Linked DNA regions of Schizosaccharomyces pombe. Changing the gene in region 1 together with any one later gene gives a genetic interaction. Each region holds a gene or a part of one and is shown on either strand. Other genes may lie near its edges.

The links.
Region 2: mutations in rpt4 (region 1) and tif452 together harm fitness less than expected from each alone (positive genetic interaction), as found in Schizosaccharomyces pombe (one large-scale study listed by BioGRID).

The regions. Positions count from the first base shown.
Region 1 is NC_003421.2:397,285-414,325, reverse strand, and holds rpt4 (proteasome regulatory subunit Rpt4), read right to left. Parts: upstream 8,726-17,041; 5' UTR 8,715-8,725; coding exon 8,497-8,714; exon of another isoform or gene 8,443-8,496; intron 8,075-8,442; exon of another isoform or gene 8,024-8,074; coding exon 7,075-8,023; 3' UTR 6,731-7,074; downstream 1-6,730. Other genes in the region: histone H3-K4 methyltransferase Set1, read left to right, coding at 1-1,561; condensin complex non-SMC subunit Cnd2, read left to right, coding at 2,259-4,487; yip3 (Rab GTPase-binding protein), read left to right, coding at 5,503-5,568, 5,633-6,082; mug122 (PX/PXA domain protein), read right to left, coding at 9,828-12,077; rpl1902 (60S ribosomal protein L19), read right to left, coding at 12,978-13,559; Clr6-associated factor 2 Laf2, read right to left, coding at 14,428-15,246.
Region 2 is NC_003423.3:1,132,407-1,140,959, reverse strand, and holds tif452 (translation initiation factor eIF4E, 4F complex E subunit isoform 2, stress response factor), read right to left. Parts: upstream 6,567-8,553; 5' UTR 6,462-6,566; coding exon 5,985-6,461; exon of another isoform or gene 5,895-5,984; coding exon 5,755-5,894; exon of another isoform or gene 5,698-5,754; coding exon 5,583-5,697; 3' UTR 5,341-5,582; downstream 1-5,340. Other genes in the region: SCF ubiquitin ligase complex subunit Skp1, read right to left, coding at 155-175, 221-588, 663-710, 764-812; MIS12/MIND complex Mis12, read left to right, coding at 1,433-2,212; protein Swi5, read right to left, coding at 2,430-2,592, 2,758-2,843, 2,896-2,904; NifU-like protein nfu1, read left to right, coding at 3,371-4,153; met7 (putative folylpolyglutamate synthase), read right to left, coding at 6,918-8,219, 8,529-8,553. UniProt on the Schizosaccharomyces pombe protein: Recognizes and binds the 7-methylguanosine-containing mRNA cap during an early step in the initiation of protein synthesis and facilitates ribosome binding by inducing the unwinding of the mRNAs secondary structures.

The DNA.
Region 1 (17,041 bases):
ATATCTTCATTCAATGCCTAAGCCTTCTGTTAAGGAAGAACTACAAGAAAATTTATTGGTTTCATCTACAAGTGTTCCTGATGTTCCTTTAAAAATTGAATCAACAGTCGGAAAGCTCCCCAGTCTTCCCAAATTTAAAAAACGAGTTGATTCCAGTAAAATGAATCTTTCAGCGGGTAGTAAAACGAAGTCGAAACTTCAAAGAAGACGTAGAAGAAGGCACGAAGCTCGACCTTTACACTACCAGCTTAATCAAATGTATAACTCAAGCGCTTCTGAAGCCGAGTCTGATCAAGAACTTTTGTTATCTTCTGGAGACGAGCGTGTAGAAAGAGGGAAGATTGGCTCAATAAAGTCTGTGAAGTCTGACGAGGCGACTCCAGTTTTTTCTGATACATCTGATGAAAATGACAAATTCCATCGTTTTCGTACAAAATCTAAAATATCAAAGAAAAAATATGAAAAGATGGAAGTTGACTATACTTCGTCCAGCGAAACCGAATCAGATGCATCAATACTTTCTCCTAGTGCTGCGATTCCAAAATCAGGTAGCGCCATAAAAGATGAACTCATATCGCCTAAGAAAGAGATTGATGAAGTTTTAGCTTTAGCTCCCAAATGGCGTATTAATGAGTTTGATGAAACTGGAAGCGTTTATTATGGTGCACTTCCTTACAATTATCCAGAAGACGATGTACTTCTTGACTTGGATGGTCTACAGTACTTGGTAAAAAATGACGAAGATTACTCATATCTTCAAGAGGCACTCAAGGATGAACCCCTCATGGATATCAACGATCCCAATTTCTGGGCTTATGAACGCAAGTCATGTAAATTTAAGAATGGGGATGTTAAGTATGGAGATACGGCTATTCTTCCAGAACCTAAAGGTTATTTTCGCTCTAATACTAGCGGTTCTGCTAAAAGTGAGGGATACTATATTATTCCAACTACCGAAAAATCACTATATCTACCACTTCGTAATCGATCAACCATCGATACTATTAGTCATTCTACAAGCCGTATCACATCACGAATGAATCGTGTTAACAATAGAAGATTGGCTGCTGGAGTTGAAAAGTCTCAATTGCCAGCCGAAGCTGACTTGCTCAGATTCAATGCACTAAAGGCTCGTAAAAAGCAATTACATTTTGGCCCTAGTCGCATTCATACATTAGGGCTTTTTGCCATGGAAAACATTGATAAAAATGATATGGTCATAGAGTATATTGGAGAAATCATTCGACAACGGGTGGCTGATAATCGTGAAAAGAACTACGTTCGTGAAGGTATTGGAGACAGTTATTTGTTCCGTATTGACGAGGATGTTATCGTTGATGCTACAAAAAAGGGAAATATCGCGCGTTTCATCAATCATTCATGCGCTCCTAATTGTATAGCTAGGATTATTAGAGTTGAAGGGAAAAGAAAAATCGTAATTTATGCTGACAGGGATATTATGCATGGAGAGGAACTTACTTATGATTACAAGTTTCCGGAAGAAGCTGATAAGATTCCTTGTTTGTGTGGTGCTCCAACATGTCGTGGCTATTTAAACTAGACAATGATGCTCTTGGAGAATTGATGGTACATGAATATATGGGCAGCTGTACAATTATAATAGTTCGTTTAAAAAGCACGCATTATATCTGATGGTACACTAATGCTTTTTATTTTTTAATATAGAATAGAATCAATTTTCTGTCTTACATCGTCTGCATTTGATATTGGTTGAATATTTTGAGAGTCAGGATAAATGCGCATACCATTCAGTGGATTGCATTCAGGAGTGATTTAGAAGTAAAATGTTAAGAGATATACTGTCTTAGATATATCCATTTGCTCCACAATACTACGAAGTTCAAGTTTAAATAAACGAAAACGAAAAATAAAATTCTCTTAAAACTTGATAGCTACTGAATTTTAGGATCCAAACTTGATTTGGTATTACCTTGTTAATTTTATATGGAAGATTTATAATAATTGAAACTTCACAAAATTTGTAACAGAATAATAAACAAAAGACTTTTGACTTTGTAATCGGGAAGCCATCAATGAAGTAAATTGGGAAATACTATATTATTTGAAAACAAATTTCAAAAGAAAAATAATGTTATCATATTGGCATTTATTTAGAAACTTATTTGAATCTTTATCATTTGTTGATTAGAAAGAAATATACGGCATATCGTTAAAGCGCGATATACGTATAGGCACACCGACTTACCACTTGTGAACATAAACATTTACTTAAATCAATGAAAAGAGCTAGTTTAGGCGGGCATGCGCCCGTTAGCTTACCCTCCTTAAATGACGATGCATTAGAAAAAAAAAGAGCTAAAGAGAACAGCCGTAAGCAGCGCGAGTTGCGAAGAAGTTCAGCTCTGCACTCAATAACGCCAAGAAGAGAATCTCTAAACAATTCTTCACCATTTAATAGCTCTCATCAGGTTCCTGTTCTTTCTAATTTTGAGGAATGGATTAAATTAGCTACTGACAACAAAATTAATTCCACAAATACCTGGAATTTTGCGCTTATTGACTATTTTCACGACATGTCGCTTCTACGTGATGGTGAAGATATAAATTTCCAAAAGGCAAGCTGTACATTAGACGGATGCGTGAAAATTTATACTTCGCGTATTGATTCTGTTGCTACTGAGACCGGCAAGCTACTCAGTGGATTGGCAAACGATTCCAAAGTATTGCAGCAAACGGAAGAAGGCGAAGATGCTGAAAATGATGATGAGGATCTACAGAAAAAGAAAGAGAGAAAGCGTGCACAACGTTCGGTAAAGACTCTCGTTAAAGATTTCGAGTCAATACGCGCTAAAAAATTTGAGTTAGAATGTTCTTTTGATCCTTTATTCAAGAAAATGTGTGCAGATTTTGATGAGGATGGTGCTAAAGGCTTATTAATGAATCATCTTTGTGTTGATCAACATGGACGAATTGTATTCGATTCTAGCGATACTGTCATCAAGGATTTGGAAAATAAAGATGTTGAAGCTGAATCGCAGGAAGCGGTAGTCGCAGCGCCTATCGAAAGCCATGACACAGAAATGACTAATGTGCATGACAATATTTCTAGGGAGACCTTGAATGGTATTTACAAATGCTATTTTACCGATATTGATCAGTTGACAATATGTCCCTCCTTACAGGGCTTTGAATTTGATAGTAAAGGGAATCTTGATGTCTCTCTCTTAAAATCATTAAGTGATGAAGTTAACATGATAACGACAACCTCCTTAGTGGATAATACGATGGAGAAAACTGATGCTGATGCAGCTTCCCTTTCTTCCGATTCCGATGGTGAAGAAGGACATATTGTGCATGCTTTGGAGGAAATGGCTTACGATGAGGAGAACCCATATGTTGATGTAGTACCAAAAGCAATGGACGAATCCGAAAATCCAGATTTTGGTGTGGATACTGAAGTCAATATGGCTGATGGAAGTACTATGAATGAAAATTATTCTATTATTTCTACTGCCGCTGCGAATGGAGTATACGAATATTTTGACAAGTCAATGAAAAAGAACTGGGCTGGACCCGAACATTGGCGCATTCAGGCATTGAGAAAAAATATCAATAACGCATCAACTGTATTCAACTCTTCCAATACGGCTGAAAGTTCAGATAATGTATCGCGTTCTCTTTCTTCCACGGAACGGAAAAAGCGTCGAGAACTTGATAACGCCATTGATTTCTTGCAGGAAGTAGACGTCGAAGCACTGTTCACTCCTGCAACCAGCAGTCTCAAGCTTCCCAAGTCTCATTGGAAAAGACATAATCGATGTTTACTACCTGATGACTACCAATATGATTCTAAGAGGCTTTTACAGCTTTTCTTGAAACCAAAGATGTCAGTTCTACCCAACGCTGATGGAGAAGGACAGCTACAACTGAATAAAGCCTTAGATGATGAGAATGATTTGGACGGTATTCAACCCCATGGATTCGATTCTGATGGCAGTGATAATGTTGATGAAGGAATACCCCCGTATGGATTTGGAGATTCCGATAGCCCTAAGCAAACACCTCTGCTTACACCTCCATCATCATCAGGATTTGGTGATAACCTTTTGTTAACTGCTCGTTTGGCAAAACCAGATATGCTGAATTATGCGAAGCGTGCTAAAAAGGTTGATGTGCGAGTACTGAAAGAAAAGCTATGGAAATGTCTAGATCTTGAAAACACAATTAAAGAAAATTCCATCAACTCTCATATTGAGGGTTCGGAGATGGAGTCAGAAGAAACCAACATGCCAGTCAAATCTTTTTTTTCCACTGTCAATCAATTAGAGGAGACATACGAGAAAAAAGAACTCAAAGATATATCCACCAGTTTTGCCTTTATTTGTGTTTTACATTTGGCGAATGAACATAATTTAGAGCTTACAAGCAACGAAGATTTTTCAGATGTTTTTATTAGGCCAGGTCCTAACTTGACGACGCTAGAAGCATTAGAAAATGATGTTTAAAGTGTGTAGAATCGAAATGATGCAGGTCATCATTAATTAGTCATCATCGCATACTTTTAGCTAGCGTGAATCATTTTCAAGATAGCCGGAAATTATACTCTTTTTGATCTACCTTGAATAATAAAAACACTAGCTCGTATTTTTAGGCTGTTACTACTTTTTGACATTGAAGAGTTGTGAAAAATGAAGAGTGCAAATTGCATTTTGTGGAGCAAGCTGACAGCGAAATTTTTTGTAAAAAATACACCTTCCTTTTATCTTGTGATCGTTGAAGACATCAGTATCTTGCTTCTGCCTGTTAATTCTGTTGGAACTCACTTAGCAGTTGACTCTTTGGAAATAACGAGATATTGCATTCATTACATGCTTCTATTCTCGACAATATAACAAAAAATAATAATTATTTATTGTCTCTATGTGAGGTTTTTTACCTATAATAGGATTAAATTGTACCAATATACGGTTATTCATATATTGTGAAACCCTTTCAAAGTTAGAACATATCGATTTGAGTACAGAAATGTAGGGTAATTTTATCTTTTATGTTAATCTTTCTCAAGAATCTATTTTTTTTTGATACAAATTATTAAATGAATTATCAGAGAAAATGAAATTTGTCAATGACCAAGCTGTAGAATAATTTCAACACCGTCAACGAATGGACTTTGGCTCAGTAAAATAAAGTTAAAATACATCCTTTTAGTTAAAGAAATAGGTTTATAAGCAATCTATGAACTTTCGCAGCAACGTTAGTTCATCTAGTTTTACCATAGATTTGAAATAGCGTTTAAAGCAAAATTACGCTATATACGATAGTGATTCATAATTTAAATAAAATGAGTTATGCAATACAATTATTACAATTTTTTCTGTTGCACAATATCTATTTAGCGTTGCTTTCTCAATGTACTTTACAGTGGGTAACAATCAATGGCTTAGAATACTTTGTCAACATCCAGGAAAAGTAGAATTTATCCTTTCCCTATATCTAAGACACCTACTACGGTTTTTCATAATGTCAGCACTGTCGTTGAGTATTACTAAAGTTTCGGAGACTTTCTCAGAAATTTACGCTTCAAGGGTATGAATTAATGAACTATGAGTAGTAAACTTGAAAAGATCAATTCACTAACGCAAAATGGTAGGCTCAGTATCTAAGTGGTTTTAAATCGGTGGGCGAGTTCTTGGATGTTCGTAGAATTTCTAGACCTAGGAATTTCAGTGAAGCTCAGTCGAGAATTAGCTTCAACTTTTCGAGGTTTTCTTCTAACTATCTTGCAATCATTGCTATGCTCGTTATTTACGCACTTATCCGTAACCCTTTACTTTTAATTGTCATTGGAATTGGTGTTGGTGGTGTTTATGGTATTCGTAAGCTTCAAGGAGCTGATTTACAACTTAGCCATCGTGTAATTTCCAACCAAAATCTTTATGTCATTCTAGCATGCGTGTTGATTCCTCTTGGGCTGTTCGCATCTCCCATCGAAACTATCATTTGGTTAGTTGGTGCTTCCTGTGTCTGTGTATTCGGACACGCTGCTTTCTTTGAGCCTCCTGTTGAATCGGCATTTGAGACTGTCGAGCAACAAGTCTAAAAAAATTGTTTCTAACAGCCTCTTTGGTTATCTTGGTACAGTTGCTTTAATTTTCGTACATGTCTTTACAAAGGGAATACTGGCATTTCCTACGCTTACTCTTCTTTGACAAACAAAAAGAGGGAAACTGTACGCCGATTTTAAAGAAACTAGCTTGCTAATCATTTTATTATCAGTTATTTGCGTTTCATACTTTTTTCCTTTTAATACGTTAATACTTCATTTGTAATTTTTTAGATTATTCATTTCTGCGCTCTTTGTTTTACGCCTTTTCGTCGTCTTTTTCAATGACTCTATCTGGCTATCTTTATCTTGCCTTTACTTTCTTGAAATTATGGGATAAAATGACTTCTAAACTGCGCATTCAGCTTCATCTAGTACTATAATAACTAGTTTGGCTGCTTATATGAAGCCAGCTATGATTTTCACCTCTCTTATTCTTTTATCTTAGCGTACTAGACGTTTTTCCTCGTTTCTTTGTCAAAGGTCTACTACCTTTTAAGGATAACTTCAAACTATCCTTCCTGGGAAGAGAAGAATTTTTGCATTTTTGAACCGGGTTTCGTTCAATATATTTAGTTCGTTCTTTACACTTCAGTGCATTTGGTTAGTTAATAATTTCTAGTCAAACATTTGCTTTACTTTTAATTCATGTGTATAATTAATTGTTTATTTTTACTTGATCATTTTTTCTTTTGTCGCCAGTAAATTATGTAGAGTGGAAAAACAATGTTTGGTATTTGGAGGATATGGAAAACATAATCAAATATTGAAGAAAATCAGTTTGTACTATCACAGATATGCCTTACGATAATATACATAGATTCCCATCAAGCATATTCATATATACATGATAAAAGCCAAAAGAGTCGGAATATATTAAAAGTAAACGTTTCACTTACTATTCGACCTTTTTAATCATAACTATGCAGTTGCGCGTATAATCTTCATCGGTAAACTTATCATTTCATGGCTTTTTGGATATATGTGCACTAAAGCTTTTGGTAATCAATTGTACCTTCAAGTTTCTTCAGGTCAGCAACCTTACGAGCTGCGGACATTAAATCGGACTGAATGACATAGTCGCGATCTTCTTTAATGGCTATGAATCCTGCTTCTGTAACCACATTCCGCAAGTCAGCACCATTTGTTCCATCTGTCAGTTTAACCAATGCTTCATAGTCAATTTCGCCTTGTTTAGAGACTTTTTCTAAATGGATTTTCAAAATCTCCATACGACCAACTTCGTTTGGTAGGGGAATTTCAATTTTACGATCTAGACGACCAGGACGAAGCAAGGCAGGATCTAGAGTATCAGGACGATTTGTCGCCATGATAATTTTCGTTTGGCCAAGGTAATCGAAACCATCCATCTGATTCAATAATTCCATCAATGTACGCTGAATTTCACGATCAGCAGATGTTCCTTCAGAGAATCTTCTACCACCAATAGCATCAATTTCGTCCATAAAAATAACACATGGCTCATGCTCTTTTGCATAGCCAAACATTTCACGAATTATTCTAGCAGATTCTCCAATATATTTATCAACGATAGCACTGGAAACTACTTTTAAAAAGTTAACACCTAAAGATGCCGCCACGGCACGAGCTAAAAGAGTTTTACCAGTACCAGGAGGACCATAGAGCAAAACACCTTTTGGTGGCTTAATTCCCACACGAAGGAATAATTCCGGATTCTTTAAAGGTAGTTCAATAACTTCACGCAATTCACGAATTTGTTCATTCAAGCCACCGACACCGGCGAAAGAAATGTCACCAGGGTCTTCAATTGACATATTGTAAACGAGAGGATCAACCTCACGAGGAAGAATACGCATAATGGTTAACGTGGTCATATCTAAAGATACACGAACGCCTTGAACCAAATGAGATTGGTCGACATTGTTTCTGCAACCTACAACGTAACGTGGACCAGAGCTAGAATAGGTTAGGGAAACAGAAAATAATGAAAGGAAATAAAAAATAGTGTACTAATGCAACGATAGATTTGTAAAAAGAGAAGGATGACTATACGTGAGGTATCTACTTTCCCAACGATTTGCTATGAAACCAGTAAACAGAGTGTTTCATGCTTCCGGTTATAGATTTTTATACCGTGTGCGCATTTCAAAAAGAATTTTTGCTGGATGGAGAGGTTAGAACCAAACAGTTTTTGAACACAGATTTTGCCCACTGAACTTATCTTTAAAAAAAAAAAGGAACGGGCAAATGATTATATGCATTTAAACATGGTTCCCATTCATACGCCACAAAAAATTCTTTATGAAGGAATTCAACGCCCAACATATGCATTACTAATAATAAGGTCTTCACATCCATTTTCACATTTCACTTGTATATATCCTCCACGTAAAGCAAACAATCTCCCAAAAGTTTGAGTAATTACTTACCTAGCTTTTACAATGAATCTTTCAGAATCAAGTTGTTTCAATACTTCTCCAATAATCTGACCAACCGACTGCAAGCTTTTTATATCATCCTCTGTTTTATCATATTTCTTGACTAGATCTCGATTTCCAAAACGCAAATCCTTCAGTTTTGAATCCCATTCTCGATGTTGTAATAAATAGGATTTATATTTCTCTAAAGCAGTGTCTCTTTCCGACATGGTTATTTCGCAAAAGATGTGTTAGTTCTGGTCAGAACATACTAGCAAATGGGAATCCAATTACTCGGTATTTTACGTTCTTAGAAATTATTAAAACTTCACTAAAGTCGTTTTCGTTAAATAAGCATTGCGAATTTCAGCGGAATCTGTTCTTGCGTAAGATTATATTTTTCTATAATAGCAGTATGATTACTAGACTACAGTTTTCTTTAAAAGAATATTTTGAAGTTTGAATTGAGTATCTTTTCAGTTTTGCAAGTTCATGCTGAAACCCCAACCGAAAATGCATTATTATTTTGTTTAAACTTCTCATATTTAAGTTTTCTCGAAACCAGAGGTATTACACTCCTGTCGCTATCCGTAAAAACAAAAACTTGTTGAGCAAACATCAAACTTTGAAGATGCTAGAATTACTGTTAATCTCAAAATTAACGAACGTTTTCTGCTTTAAAAAATTTCATCCTTCGTAAAATTTTGGGTACTGCTATGTCAACAATTTGGTAGTTGCTTCAAGTCATTCTGTTAACAAAAATTATGCTTAATCCGCCAAAACTTGGTCTCTTAAGTTGAACAATCCAATTCAATTGACCACTTGTGTCAGAATATGATTGTCAATTAATATCATAGTTCCTACAACTAAATTTTCTAAACATATACACGTCTAACTTTTTCTTACACAAAAAGCTAGATTGCTTGTAAAACGGAACGAACAATTAACCGAATAAACGAAACTCAATATGTATAAATTAACGCAAACTTGACTAAAGATAGAGAAGATAGTTCTCGACTTCGCCAACTTTAAACAAACAAATCTTAAAGCAAGGTAAAGTCGAAAATACGATTTTATAAATAAATATATAAAAGAAAGTAGGATAATAAAATATTAACAAACGAGGTAGAAAACAAGGGAATGGTTCTAAAGGTTCGTTTGATTTTGCGATTAATCATGAAACCGGTCATCACGTATCGACCAAAAGCTAATGGAATTTTAAAATGTAAGAGAAGGGAAACAAAATGATAAAAAAGGGAAAGAAGTAAAAATCATTAAAATGCCAGGTATATATCGGCGAAAAGAAATAAATATACGGCACACTTGCGATATACCTTGATTGACTATATGATGCTACGAAGAGCATTGCTAAGTAAATGTGCAAGGAACCCTTGCACGAATTGCGGTTCTTGAAGCAGTTCGAAAATAATTTTTAGGCTTTCCTCGGAGGTTGACTGTCCAAGCATAAGAGTAAAATTCTCAGATAAAGCGTTTTCAACAAGGGTTTTTTCGGCTCGTAATCTCAAACTTTCATCGCTTTCCTCGTCACAAAAAACTGAAACAGGGTCTTCAGGAACAGATTTGCTAGCCTCTTCGAAAAGGGAATCGGCTTCGCTATCAAAGGAAATTTTAGATTCAGTTGAACGTCTGTGTGCCCTTGTCGAATGTGATTCCATGGCTTTTTTTTCGTCGGGCCATACGTTTAAGATTAACGAAGTTAATAAATCTCCCACTAGTTGAGTGTTTGAAAGCTTGTCATAAATTTGGTTCTTTAACATTCGTTCAACTTGAGCCGAGAACCTCCCAGGACCATGCAATACTGTCGTCTTCATAATCGTTAAAACTGATTTTCGAAAAAACCACAACTTGGAATTCAGAGAGCAAAGCTCATCAACCAGAGCAAATCCCCCGCTGATAATTTCTTTAAGACGTTCTTCTTTTAATTCAAAAGCGTTTGGTTTAGGTGGCTCAGTGGTTGGACTTCCGTTATGATCAGGCATCGCTGGGGGGTTTTCAGTTGGTTGAGTGGAAGCGGGACGGTAAGGCTCATGAATCGAATCCTCATCATCCGAAGTACATGAACCGGTATCTCTATAGCCGGTGGTACAAAGTTCAAAGCTATCCCTTTGTTGGCTAAGTGGTTCAGGTGCCAATGTACTTTGATGACTCAACAGCCCAGTTCGCTCAGAACGCTTTGGTTTTGCACTTTTAGATGTTTTATTGCTTAACACTCGGCTAATATTTGTAAGATTGGGTAATGTGGGTACAGAGGAAGATTGATGTTTCTTATCTACATCAAATCCATTGTAAATGTCATCAACTAATGGGTGAGACCTCATAGATTTTGCAAAAAACTTGCGGACATCAACATTAGTTGCAAAGTGACTATCATGCAGTAAAGCTTCTATAAAAAAATACAATCCTTCACGAAACTTCTCATACGTGTTTCCACGCCAAACAGGAAAACTCGGTACAGCTCGCCCATTTCTAGCACTTTGCTTTTTTAACAAATAGTATAAAGTTTTGAACCCCCGATATCGACGATAAACCACCCAAGGTGAGACATGCAAATGAACGGGACGAACAGTGATAATAAACTTGAGCATTTTTTTATCTTTAATAAGGGTATTTAGGGAAGCCTCCTTCAAAAATTGATAATGAAGTTCAATGTGAGCTTCGTAAAAAGCATCGTCAAATGATAACTTCCCTGCATCAGGATCAATATTGGTATGAACGGGGTAATCTTTAAGTGCCTTGGCCATAAGACACTTGTTAACATAATTTTTCTTTGCCAAACAATCACTCTTATCCTCACTTGAAGAAAAATAAAGAATAATACAGCGATTCACGAACCTTGGAGAAGAACAATGTGTTGTGATACGCTTAAATACTTGCATTGCAAGAACTTCTCTCAGCAAACAATGTAAAGGAAGACAAGCTGAGTCTTCAGGTCGGCTAAACTTAACTATCATAGCAGAAGCTTGCGCGCGTAAAGTTCTTTCAATGGACGCCTGATCAAGTAGTTTCGAAACAGCCGACTCGGGATAACGAAGAGCAAATTCAGTGAGAGGGATTTTTTTGCTCCGAAAATGATTTAAATCCGACAAAACTAACGTAGTAGTAGAAATGGCATTTTTTAAAAGTTCATAAATTATATGCGAGGATTCCTGAGAACTCACATATGCATAAAATTGTCGCATAATATATTCTATGGTGCTTTGAACCTCGCGAATAAAAGATGGATCTTCACTAACGTGTTTATACCAACCATTGATGTAATGTTGCGTAAGCTTTGAAATCAATAGTTGTAAAGGAGCTTCAAGTTCAGGTGGTAAAGGAGTTTGATATGGCTTAAGTGGTTCACCCAACTCAGGATGCTTGATATTCAAGATAACACTATGATTGTTGTGAAATAAGCTGTTTACATACGCACCGAGTATAATTCCGCTTAATATATACGAAGTGGTCCCAAAGCATATGTAAAGAATGTAAAATATTAATGACAAAACCAAGAGAGCAATTATCGGTATAACGCTATGCTCTATATAAGGGAGCAAGTGTCGTGTTATACATAAATCCCATTTTCGATACATGAGTTAAGTATAGAAATAGAATAGCTTAGCACACTCGATTATGTATATATTTACAAAAGAAATGACCGGTATATGCAAAAGAGTGATGGGTCCTTAAGGGAAGCACAACAGAGCTTCAATACTATGTTGCGTAAATCTTTTAGCACAATAATAACTTAAAAATCGTGAATTTGAGATTAGAACCAAGTAAAAATCGCCTAGGTATGCAATTCGGGTACAACAAGATATCGAAAAGCAAGCAAACAGGTAATAACTGCCTTGTAGATTAATCTATGTGAAATTGCGATATAATAGAAAATGCTATAAATTCATATTTTGGGAGACGGATACTTTTCTCTCTTCCAGTATGAGTGAGGAAAGCAAATGAGCAGGTGGTTGCCATGCCAACGAAGTGTGATTTTTCATAAATAAGTATGTAAACAAACAAATCGAAACTTCAAGGATTTGGCTATTCATTAAATACAATCCTTTGCATATATTGATTTGACCGTTACAACCATGGTGCAGGTTGAGGGATAGTACAACGCTTATCGTTGTGTGTTCTTGAAAACAGGACTATAGATAGATAGATAGTACATGGAATGTGCTTAGACAACTACTATAAATGATTATATGTTACAAATCAATAATAAAACACAATACCTCAGTAGTTTAAACTTAGTGCTGTTTAACTATGAACGACATAACATACTCATAGATTAATTAGTACAGATGAATTGAAAAAATTTTTTAACTTCCAGTCCGAAGTCATTTGTCAAAGGAGAAAGTTCTACAATCTACGAATTCGTTTCACCTTACTAATGTACACAACAAGCATAGTATATTTAAAACACTATTGAAAAATTAATTTACCGCCTAAACCAAAAGTGCATATGTCAAAACATAAATGTATTAAGGCAATTATTCCTCGATCTTTTCGGCAGCAGTGTAAATTTGCTCACGTTTTTCTTCAACAGCCTTGGCTCTACGTTGACGGGCAGCCTTGGCACGAGCACGACGAGCATCTTGTTGCTCTTGGATCAACTTGGTACGGTTGGCCTCGGCCTTGGCACGTTGGATATGTTCAATCAAGGCACGTTTGTGCTTGAAGGTGTTACCCTTGGCTTCCAAATAAAGAGTGTGGTAAAGATGCTTATCTATCTTACCAGACTCACGGTACTTGCGAAGGAGACGACGCAAGACACGTTGACGACGCATCCAAACAACAGTAGAGGGCATACGAGCCTCAGCAGTACCCTTACGCTTACCATAACCGGTGTGACGACCAAGACGCTTGGCAGCATGAGTTTTACGGATACGGAAACGAGAGTGCATCAAATTGGGCTTGCGAATGACCAAACCATCCTTGACCAATTTGCGGATATTTTGACGGCTGTTAGCATTGCTAATTTCACTGATCTCATTGGGATCCATCCAAACTTTGCGCTTGCCGCATTTTAAAACAGAGGCAGCAAGACGCTTCTGTGTTCTCAGATTTGCCATTGTTAATATGGGTTGGGTTGGGGACGATTGTGCTTTTAGTCTTTCAAATTGTCTAATCAAAGCAGTCACAATGTGTTGTGTTTAACCCTACCCTCAATTTTTACAAAAAAACAAGTGACGATATCATATAGGTAACATTGACTAATTGAGTAGTATGGAAAATGTAAATAATTGAAAATGCAAAAAGCTCAAAGAAAAAAGCCGAATTGTTAGTTACTACTACAATGGAAAGATGCATTAAATATGTCACAAAATCTTAAGAAATACTGAGGAATATAAAAAGAATGATTATTAAAGAAAATGCTTCAACAAGGATGATCGCAAAGTATTTTCTACCTCATTTTTCTGCTTTTAAATATATAATTAAGTATAAATAAAGGAATCAAAATGGAGAGTAGAGAGTTGGAAGAACACAGCCTCTCATCAAAAATTTTTGAGCATTTTTTAGGTAGCCTTTTTTTAAAAGCATGATATACTAGGTACAATGTTAGAAAATACAAACGGCACTCCCAAAGACCATATATACAATAGCTTCTCTTTTTTTTAAATACAAGGATCATAATAAAATGAAAAGAAGACAATATAAAGAACGAATTAAGCTTAATTAAGCATACCAACCAAAAATCTGAAGAGAAAAGAAGGGTATAAAATGGTTACAAAGTATAAACAAGCACAAAATGTAGCTTTAAGTTAACACTTTGCTGAGTGTACAAAAAGAAAGACTTTTTTAAAAATTGGTAAATGGGGTAGTAAAGTCTTTTAAGCAGAGAAAATAACAATAAAAGCAAATTTGGTATGAAAGGGTATTTGGAGAGCAAGATGGGTGATTCAACAAAATATTTCCATCTTAGCACAGAAGGTAAAAGGTTTAATCGTCGAAAAAGCCGACTTCATGAAATGCCTTCCATAAACGGCTGGCTTTGTTTACGTCAACTCGACTAGCCCTTTGAGCATCAGTTTTTCGAAAAGTAAGTCCTTGTTGACGACGATGATGCCATTCCGCAAATATTCTTTTTTTGTTATCAAGATAAATCAAACATGGAAGACGAAGAGTCGAAGCCAAATGTAATTCAGCAGGGTGCAAGAGATCGCGATAAGGGTCATCACTAAGGTCCAAAGGCGGACCTTTCCACTCAGCTTTTAGTGTACGAGGATGCGTACGGTTGTCCAGTACAGACATGTCAGGACAGAAATTCGGCAACTCTTCAAAGGGAAGGTTGGCAACATCGATGGCACCATTAAGCCCATTTCCACGAGCCGATTTTCTTCTACGGGCCTCAATAGTGGAAGGACTAGAAGAGATGCTTCTTTCAGCAGACCGGAGAGCACCGCTGTAACTTGGTGACGAGTCTCGAGAAGAGACACTACTGCGTCCGCGAGAGCCAGAAGATGAAGAGACATTGGAATGCCTGTTAGCCCATCGACCTACATGATTATTACGACGAGCTTTAGGAATTGGATGAATCCGTTTACGACGCAACCATATTAATTCTTGCTGCAACCAAAGTTTCGGTTGATTTTTGTAAACTTCGTAAACAATTCCTTTCATGCAAGCTCGCATGCCATGTCTCCTCGAAATATTTGTATATGATAAAGATTTCTGTTTAGGAGGAGACAATGGCGGTGTAATTAAAACAAAGCTACCTCCATCGGGATTTAAGTTCTCCTGATCTTTTAAAATTTGCATCTTTGAAATTCGATTTCTCAATACAATTGACCGCGGAAGAAACCTCAATGGGTAATTTCTGTGCTTTGCAGAAGACAACTTTTCGGTGGACTAGGGTTTCGTTGTCACTTTGTTACTCTCCGTTGTAGAAAGCAATGTTTTCGATTCGTATTCAAAGAAAACTTGTTTAGCAGAAGGTACAAGTGTTTTTGCATGCTTTCTATTATTATAAAACAAAACATTCTCAAAACACTTTGTTAGGTTTCTATTGAAAATACGATCCATGATGAGTATTTTTGCAAGACTAAATATCACAATTGTATCACATCTTGCTAATTATAGATAGGCAAAAATTTTAAACAAAAAAATAAAAAAAGTTTGATTCAATGTTTTTATGCAATTTTAAACGGTACAGTTTAAATATGTACCTAATCGAATTGTAAACATATACTTCAAGTACCTAGTACTTGGGAATTGCATTTCTTCAAACTTAACCTTTATGACCAGCGGATATTATTTCATTTGGCTATAGAATATCTTATGCAGATAGCATTTTTTCAAATCGAAATTGTTTTATAGTGAGATGTCGCTTTGCAATACTTGACGATCAAAAAATACAGCTATAAAATACTATTCGTTCACTGCATGTGGTTTTTGGATTGTCTAATTGATTTAGCATAATGAGGATACTAAAATTAAGATGCAGTAAATTATCCTTACTTTTGTGGAATTGTGTAAATAACAAGAACACCAATTGTTTACAAGGTATTCGAGTAAATAATCCATTTCAATTTCAGTATAATAGACTCCAAATAGATATTTAGTTCCGTTTAAAAAATTAAAATTAAAATGTAATTTAACCAAGCATTAAAAATAAAAAATAAACAATGAATTTGTTAACTCAATGGATGTGAATATTGTTACACCTTTATGCTTACTCTTAGCGAAAACGTGCGATAATTTATTTAAAATGGACCAGATAATTCAGAAATACTTCTAATTTTAAATCCCGATTACAATACACTGGTGCTATTCTGTAGAGTGTTTTCGTTCGTTTTGCAATTTTTTACAATCAATCCAGACAAACGCTTTGTTCATATTATAAAAATTCTAGTTGAAGTAATGCTTCCAAAAAGTGATAAATTAAATAAAATACCAAAGTTGAAGGAATAAAGTTTACTATATTAGTACTCACAGCAATTTAGTGTTCATATTCTAATTATTAGGTCTGAAAACCTTTTGGAAAAAATGACTGTTTCAGAATCTATAACATTGATTTCAAAAAAAAAAACAATAAACAATAAATCGATTGATGTTAGGATTTTAGAAAATATTTTCAAATCAATGAAATTGCATATGGAAAATAGTAGTTTTATTTACACGTTGAAGGGAATTCTACCTGTCAACGCAAAAAAATAAAAAAATAAAAAAAATTAATGTGACAACATAGTGTAAGCTAAGAAGATAATGATAATTATAAAGATTAAATAATATATTTATATACTACATGCTAAACAATATTTGACTTTGTTCCCAGATCTTTATTTCAGGTTTTGACCAAGGAAACGATACTAAATTGCGTTACCTATCGCCATAACCTATAAGTCACCCATAGTCAGATTCTAGTGATAAAGATTCATTGCTATAGTTAACTTACCTAAAGAATATAATATAATAAAACATTACTGTCCTACTAAACTTCTTAGTTCAATAGCACGGCCATCTTTTTTAAACAATACCACTAGACGGTTTTCAGCCTAACGCATCATTATGTCTGCATAATGAAATTTCTTAAATTACTTTAACGAGATTACAC
Region 2 (8,553 bases), on another chromosome or scaffold:
AGTAGTAAAAAATCATCAGTATACTTTATATCAATTTTTTTTTTATAAAAAAAAAAAGGCGCATGATGAGGTGGATGGGAAGATTCCCATTTTACACTGAAAACTACACTTAATGATCCAAGGACAAAAAACTTTATACACAAAAAGCCACAAACTATCTGTCTTCGGCCCATTCCTGCAAGCGGTTAGAATTAAGTTAATAAAGTACCAAGGAACGTACATTTTCTTTACGGATTTGCTCTTCCTCCTCAGGCGTAAAATCATTAGGGATGTTAAATGTTTTCCGAATGTCCTCAGGACTCTTGCCACGAATCATGTTGGCAACGGTTTTACAACCAGTATCAAGCAAAGGTTTAATATCCAAATAATTGCTTGCCAAAACTATCTCGAACAACATTTCCTGGTCTACGGCCATAAACTTACGATCCCATTCATCAATATCGGTAGACTTTTTTAATCTAATGTCACTTTCCTCCTCAGTTCCTGAATACAAATCGTTTTTGTGATGCTCACACCATTCGAGTACCTTTCGCAAAACGTTCGATGATACGTTTGGAAGAGGAATGGGGACATTAATCTCACCAACGTCTATTGAAATTGAGATTTTAGTAACAGGGTCCATAATAATTATTGCACTCAACAAGCGCTTGTATAGATCATACCTTCAAGCATATTTTTTATAAGCATACTTCTCTCAGCGATCAGTTGATCTATAAACAGTTTGTCAATTCACTCAATTCAAAACATTCTCCGTTCTACATACCGACCACGAACTCTTCATTGTCAGATGAAATCAGTTTGATTTTGGACATTGTTGATGTATGTAAGTAATGGATGAATGAAAGTTAAGCTGTTAGCATTTCTAGTTATGCTGATATTCCTACAGTGGCAGAACTCACTAATTCGATATTGGGAAAAGGTGCTAACCCTCATTAAATCAAATTGCATAGCAGAACGATCCCACCGTGATAGCTAAAAAAGGCTACTGAAGAATAATAAAAGAAAGCATAGAAATTGAGGTTTAAGATGAGTCCGTACTATTAATGTATAATTCGAATATAGTTAATATTAGTGTATTCCTCCACTAGAGCTTAGTTGAGGATATAGAAACTCTAGTAATGATTTACCAAGCACAAATCAAAAGCCACACTTCTAAGCAACTAACAAAATAAACCGACTAAACTGTTAATCGCCTGAGTTATATGTTCCTCACAGCAATAAAAACAGCAACAAATCTATGTATTATTCATACTTTTTGATGGGATATACGGAAATCCCTTTTACCTCGTTATTATCATATCTGAGTACACCAGACAAAATGCAACATGGGGTTGGTACATTGCAGAACAACTTGCCGTTTAAAAATCATAACTCACTAGTTTCCTCTTTGGAAGCTAATCAGTGTTTTCAATGTAAAGGAATTAATTAAAAAATGTTAGTGGAGTTACTAGAATTCACTCCTCTCTCCTTCATTGATGATGTGATCAACATTACGAACCAACTGTTATATAAAGGTGTAAATGGTGTGGATAAAGCCTTTTCACAAACGCGGTTTGCTAAAAAAGCGCCACAGGAAATAGAAGAAGGACTACACAAGTTCGAGGTTCTCTTTGAAAGTGTGGTGGATCGTTACTATGATGGTTTCGAGGTGTATACACTTCGAAACATTTTTAGTTATCCACCAGAGCTAAAAGGCTACATGCGTACGTTTGGAAAGGATGTAGACTATTCAATCACAACAGAGCAAGACGCCGCCATGGATCAAGCAATTCAAGAGGCTGCAGAAAAACTCGTAGTAAAGATGCAACTACGTCGTGACCTTCGCATGCGTCTCAGCAGGAAAAGAGAAAAAAAAACAGAAATAGAAAAGCATTTGGAAAGAATTTCTTTTCTCAACAAAGTACCCGAAAATTGGCAAGTTACTTTACCAGAAACTACCGATTTCCTTCTTGATCAACTTGGTAATCTGCAGCATGCCGTTAAAAGAGTAGTTGAAGCCTCTCCCACTGTACACTCACGAGAGGTGGATGAAAGAATTACCTACTTAGAAAAAGGTTACGAACGATTATCTAATCCCATCGACCAGCAAAAGGATTTTTGGTCACATCACTTGTCAAAACTAGAATCGACAGCCAATACTGAAACTGCAAATAACATTCATAAGTTGCTATTGTCATCTGAAAAAGACGTCGGACATACTGACGAGCCTTAATACTAATCAACTAGCTAAAGTCTTGAGATGTTCTAACAATTGTGATCGTTTACGTAAACTTTCATAATAAATATATAAGAATTGGCGTTGGATCTCTAGCGAAAGCAAAGTAATGCTTAATAAAGAAAACTTGGATTGTCTCTGTCACTTTTTCCGTTACATTTTTATTTGTTTTGTTTAACTTCTCTTTTTTCCTAAATAACTGAATGGATAATAATTATTCTGACCCATTAACTCCAAATCTGTCAAACAATTCGACACTTGTACATTTTTCATGCTCTGCCACTTTGCCAATCATTCCCAAAGCAATATCCCGTATTTCATTATAGGTATGGAGTAGATCGATATGTTTTTGTACAGTTTGCTTAGCATCTCGATTTCTAAATCATTTGTCAACATTAGATAAAACGAGACAAGCTTGATGATGACTTGAATAGATTTGATGGAACGGCAATACATTGCTTTTCCCAAAATGAACCTGAACGCGCGTAAAGGCGCATAACTCATATTTTCTACCATTTCTAGCATCACTTTACCACACTTACTTTAGCTTAGCTAAAGCGTCTTGTAAACTACTTTCCAATTGCTCCTTCTGCTGTTCAAGCAAATGGACGCGTGACTCAAGTTGAGACTGCAGTAATTCATCAGTATTTTGTGAATGAACAATGGTACCGTTGGCTTACCTTTTCCATACGATTTAAACAGTTCTTTCTTAATGAAGCAATGATGTGTGAAATTTACTAGGAAGGTATCTGTTTTTGAACACCTAGTAGAAATTAAGTTGTTGAGGAAGGCAGGAGCCTACCGATTTGTTCAATTGAAAACAATGTCTATTGTTCTTGTAAGAGAGAATTTAGATTAGTGATGAAAGACAAGTAAATTGTTGAATCACGAACAATGGCTTATTTCAATATAATGAACTTCGCTAATTTGTATAAGAAAGTATAAGGATCACATCGGTTTTCGTATGCCCATGTACAAATTGCCTTCTTGCATGTATTTAAAGAATTGCTTACATTAGCATTTCCTGATTTAAAAATTGTTAATAAACATTTAAATTTTCCCATCTGTTTGAAGTGTATACTTAAGAAGTTTCAAATTCTGAACTTGTCTTAATATTTTGTCTCTTATTGGATAAAGCACGATTTGATTCCAAGCATGTTATTTCCTAGAGTTGTGCCGTTTCAATCTTTAAGGACAGCATTCCAAAAGAAAACCTTTTTACCAGTATCTTCAGCTGGTAACGTTTTCACTCCACGTTTCCAATTGCAAGCAATTCGCAGCATATGGATCCGATCGGAGGAGACACCGAACGAAAACGCTTTGAAGTTCCTGCCAGGGCTAGATATCTTGCCTCCAACTATCGGAAGCTGTGAATTCATGAGAGGACAAGGAACTGTGAATTCTCCATTGGCACAGAAACTATTTGATATAGATGGAGTTGATAGCATTTTTTTTGGAAAGGACTTTATTACTGTTTCCAAGGGAGCAGGAACTGAATGGGCTCAAATGAAGCCAGAAGTGTTTAGTGTAATTATGGAGCATTTAAGTAATGGAAGCCCAGTACTCTCTGAAGAGCCTCTAAAGGGGGCTAGCGATACTCAAATATTAGAAAGCGACAGTCAAATTGTTGCAATGATTAAAGAACTGATCGAGACTAGCATTCGTCCATCTATCCAAGAAGACGGTGGTGATGTGGAATTTAGAGGGTTTGATGAGAAGACAGGTACCGTTTCTCTTAAACTTCGAGGTGCATGTCGAACCTGTTCGTCATCAGCTGTGACACTAAAAAATGGAATTCAGCAAATGCTGAAGCATTACATTCCGGAAGTGGAAAATGTTGTACAAGTTTTAGATCCAGAAGAGGAGGTTGCAATTGCCGAGTTTGAAAAATTTGAACAGCGCATTAACGGAAACAAACAGAAAGCTGATAACAAGTAACTTTTTCCATTCAACATAGGGAATTTGGTTCATTTAAAAGACTTTGGTGATAGAAATTAATAATTGACGAACAAAACGCTATTTATGAGTTTTAAGAAAAAACAGCAAATAACAATGAATATTTACACTGTATTCGATAAAAAACACATACTACTATATAAGACGATTTGTTTAATCATATAATGTTACTTTCTTGGTTCATTTTCGACTGCAAATTTTATGTACGAATAATGAAGATGTGTATCATATAAACTACAGGTTTCATCAACACCTGTATTATTCAGAGATATTTAAATGTTTTAATAATAGCGAGGGTACATATTTATGAAATAAATAAGTAAAAATTTTGAAATACTGTTGGAATGTTTCGTTGATGTCCCTGTACGCAGATGACTATTTTCGAAATTTGAAAAGGAGAATTGATACACAGAACGGAGTTGAGTTAATGTTAGCCTTTGGCTCTCTTTTGCTTAAAAAACGATACTCGAAAAATTGACTAGTTAGAAAAGGTGGTAATGCATTCGTATATTTTCAATTAAGCTCTAGGTTATTAAATAGGTATACATAAGCGAATTATGTTTGGAGTTGGGAGATTGTATCAGCGTTACGAAATATTCGTCAATCATTTCATCTTTGCTAATTGCTGATTAACCAAATGATGAAGTTAGTGCTGAGCTTTATTTGTTTAAAAAACTTTGAGTATAAGCGAAGCGATAGATTTGGAATTGAAGTGGTGCACTGATACTCGACAATATTCCGTACAGTACATTGAAAAGTCTGATTGTAGATACTTCTTCACCAGATATCTAATTCTAAGCATACAGAAGTTGCAAGTAAATTTCCCCACTTTTCCCAGTACTCATTAAGCGCTGCATTAATTCGATTAAAAGGGCTATCTTCTTAATTAATGTTATCCGATTTCGACAATGATAAGAAGAAATGAAGGTCGCCTATTATTTCGAAATTTTAGTTTGATTCAAACATTCATGGATCCTTAGCGATAAAGGTTAGTTCCAACATTACATTAGATCCTCGGAAATAGTAAAATCATAGTAGACATTATTCAGCTTGAAATAAGCTAGCGATAAATGTTTAATATACAGGCGGTTATGAATAATAGGAAGATTTGGCGATCTAGCATATTTACATTCTTGATAGAATTTTAATATTTATAACGTAAGAGAAGGGTCAAATATAGATTATATCCATTAGCCTATTAAAATGCTCAACAAATATAACAAATTAAACTATTCATACGAATACACTAACTGTAAAGAGGCATCTATCTCATCTCAATAAGCTTGGTATTTTAGAGGTCTCAAAAACAAGAGGGCAATGATTGCAATAACATATTGTCATTCGTAAATGAACACCCCTATAATTTACCAAGCCTTAGAAAGTAAAAATAAAAACTTGAAACTTGATATCATTAAAGACTCATACGGGTTTTTGCTCGCATACTACCAGCCTTTGATGAATCCTCATGAGCACTATATTCTATAGTCTCTTTATCAGAAATCCCTAAAACTTCTTTAAAGCGCAGGCTACATGTTTGTTAGTCCAGTCAACTACCAACACGTTACTCTTAAAACTTCACATACCCGATTTTTTCCAAAACATCTTTGTCATTACAATTTCGTGTCCATACAGCGATTCTATAGAATCCTTTCCTCATATTGCAAACTACACCAGTAACTTCTTTCCCAGTAGGGTCTAATGTTTCTCCAATGGCTGCCAGCACCTATTTCCATACGTTAATACTTTCAACTTAAAAATTAACATTCTGTAAAGTCGATATCACAGCAGTTAAAATGAACAGACCATGACTTACCATATACAGCCACAACTCGTCGAGATTTGAACCTTTGTGCTTGCTTTGGTAGGCCCATTTCCCACCATTCATGTTTTGAGGATCCTCCCATTCAGGACGAATACCTTTCAAAAAGTAAGAGTAGTCCGATTTGGCGGGAAGCATCGAAGCTTTTGAGATCGTCTTAAAGATGCCCCAAAACTCTTCCACTGTCTTGAAGGAAATAATCTCTTTAAGAAGATCACTCCATTCAAGACCTTGTGTAGGTGGTTTCAAAAACCACAATGTCCATTCATGCTGAAGGGGGTGTGTTTTTACAAATGCAGTTTCAGCATTAACAGCCGATAGACCTTCAAGAAGGCGCGCTGGACGTCCCTCTCTTTCAGTTTTAACTTTTGGTGACCCAAATAAATCCAATAGATCTAGTTTTTCTGTGATTAAGGAAGTGTTGGGAAAACCCTCATTTTTTGAGTGACGCGAGTCTTCTGCATCTGCCATTTGCTTTTTTTAAAAAAACAAAAATATTAAAAGAGCTTAAAACGTTTTTATAATAGGCAGTTTGTAAACTAGGCTGGATGCTGAAAAGATGCGGTGGTCGTAATTGGGTTACGAGATCCAAGCAAAAGCAACTTTCAACACACTGTTCCTGTAAAATATAATTGTACATTCATACCTTAAATATTGGCTAAGTATATATAAAAAGTCAATAATCAGCCTTAAAGCTTTACAGTAAATTATTTGTTTGATTGGAAATGCACGAGTATAATCAAATTTCACACAGCTTTTTATCTGCATACTATTATAATTCGTGAAATCAAATTTGTTCCCCTTACGTGTCAAATTGTTAAAAATCATTTTGTAATTACAAAGATGCATAAAGCTATGTTGTATATCTAAGAATCATTTAAATCTCAAAAACAATGTTGCAAAATGTAGAACCTTTCTCCATTTCAATCAAAAAACAGCTTGATCTAGTACTACAAAAACACCACCAGTTAAATGCAGACTTCCGGTGACACAAACAAAAGTATTCCTGGATTTTTGCTTAATTGACATCACTGTCTCAATAGCTTCTTGGATGGTAGGGGCTACTGTTGCTTCACTAGTCGTGCCCTTCGATTCTTTCCACCATTTACATAAATCCTCTTGTACATGCAAAACGGGCTTATTATCAGTAATGGTATTAATGCTTAACAGCTCTGGATTATAGCCTGCATCCTTCCAGGTGACATTGGTTGAGAATATAACATGCGTAAACGAAATCCCAGTTCCCGAGCTTTCCAATCCTTTTAAGAAGGACCTAAGTAAAGCAATTGGATCATCCCTGCTTTGCTGGTTAAACAGAAGAATACGGGCATCTGCATCCTCATAAAGATTCTTCTTGGATGCGAGCCAAAGTCCAGTGGCCTCCAAACTTTCCTTGGTGTGGGCTCCATCAAAACACCATTTTATGTTGTTGATTTCCTCAATTTGGCATCTTCCAGGCCATTTTACATACTTGAGGCCGTCCAAAATTGCTGGATCCTGATATGGATCTCTATCAAAAGGGCACCCGGCCTTTTCATAGAATTCTTGGACTAAAGAAACTGCAAGGGATGTATTTCCAAGCTGATGAACTCCTGAAAGACCAATCATATCCGGCGTTAATTCAGCAGGAGGTATGACTACCTTAAGTGATGTATTTCGTTCAGCAGCACGGTTTTTTAAAACATTCATAGCCTCGGGAGCTTGCTCGCAAGTTAAGGCAATAGCTGATTCTTTGTAGATTCCAGCTTTCTGCCAAGCAATTTCTGCTATTGTGTTCCCCAACAAAGACGTGTGGTCAAGACCTAAGCTTGTAACTGCTGTGGCATATGGTTTTTCAATTAAGTTTGTAGAATCGTATTCACCACCAATCCCAACTTCAATGATAGCGGCATCGACATTCTCTGAAATGAAAACGTGCCATGCCATTAGTGTCAAGAATCGGAAATACATTGGCTTTTCCGAATCACTACCGACAGCATTCTCTAGGCGCTCCCATACATCAAAAAAATATTTAGTAAACAACTCTTGACTGATAGGTTTGCCATTTAATTGAATACGTTCACAGACAGATCGGAGGTGAGGAGAAGTGTACATACCAATGCATTTTGGAATCGACCTTTCTCCACTCTTCTGTATTTGCTGTAATATTGAGGATGTAAATGCACATGTAGAACCCTTTCCTTTAGTTCCAGCAACATGGATGACATTTAGTCGGTTCAAATCTGATGGCTGAGATTTATTAGTTAGTAAAAGTTGCATGACAGTATAGAACTATTAACAAAAAGATTTCGTAAAGAGATACAGGCTAAACCAGCCAAGTCAACAATTCCTATTGATATTTCCCTTTATAGACATGATGTGCTGTCCTTTCAATGAGATTATTATTATTAAAAATAAGGTGAAGTTAAAGAAAGGATCACAATCGAGTACTATAAAGGACATACAAATACTTGTTTCAATCTCGTTTAATCATATGCAGCGGCTTAAAATATTTGAGTGCTATTCTTTTGTAATTCCTAATTATAAGTAGTAACTTACCTGATATCCAATGCATCTAAGCCAA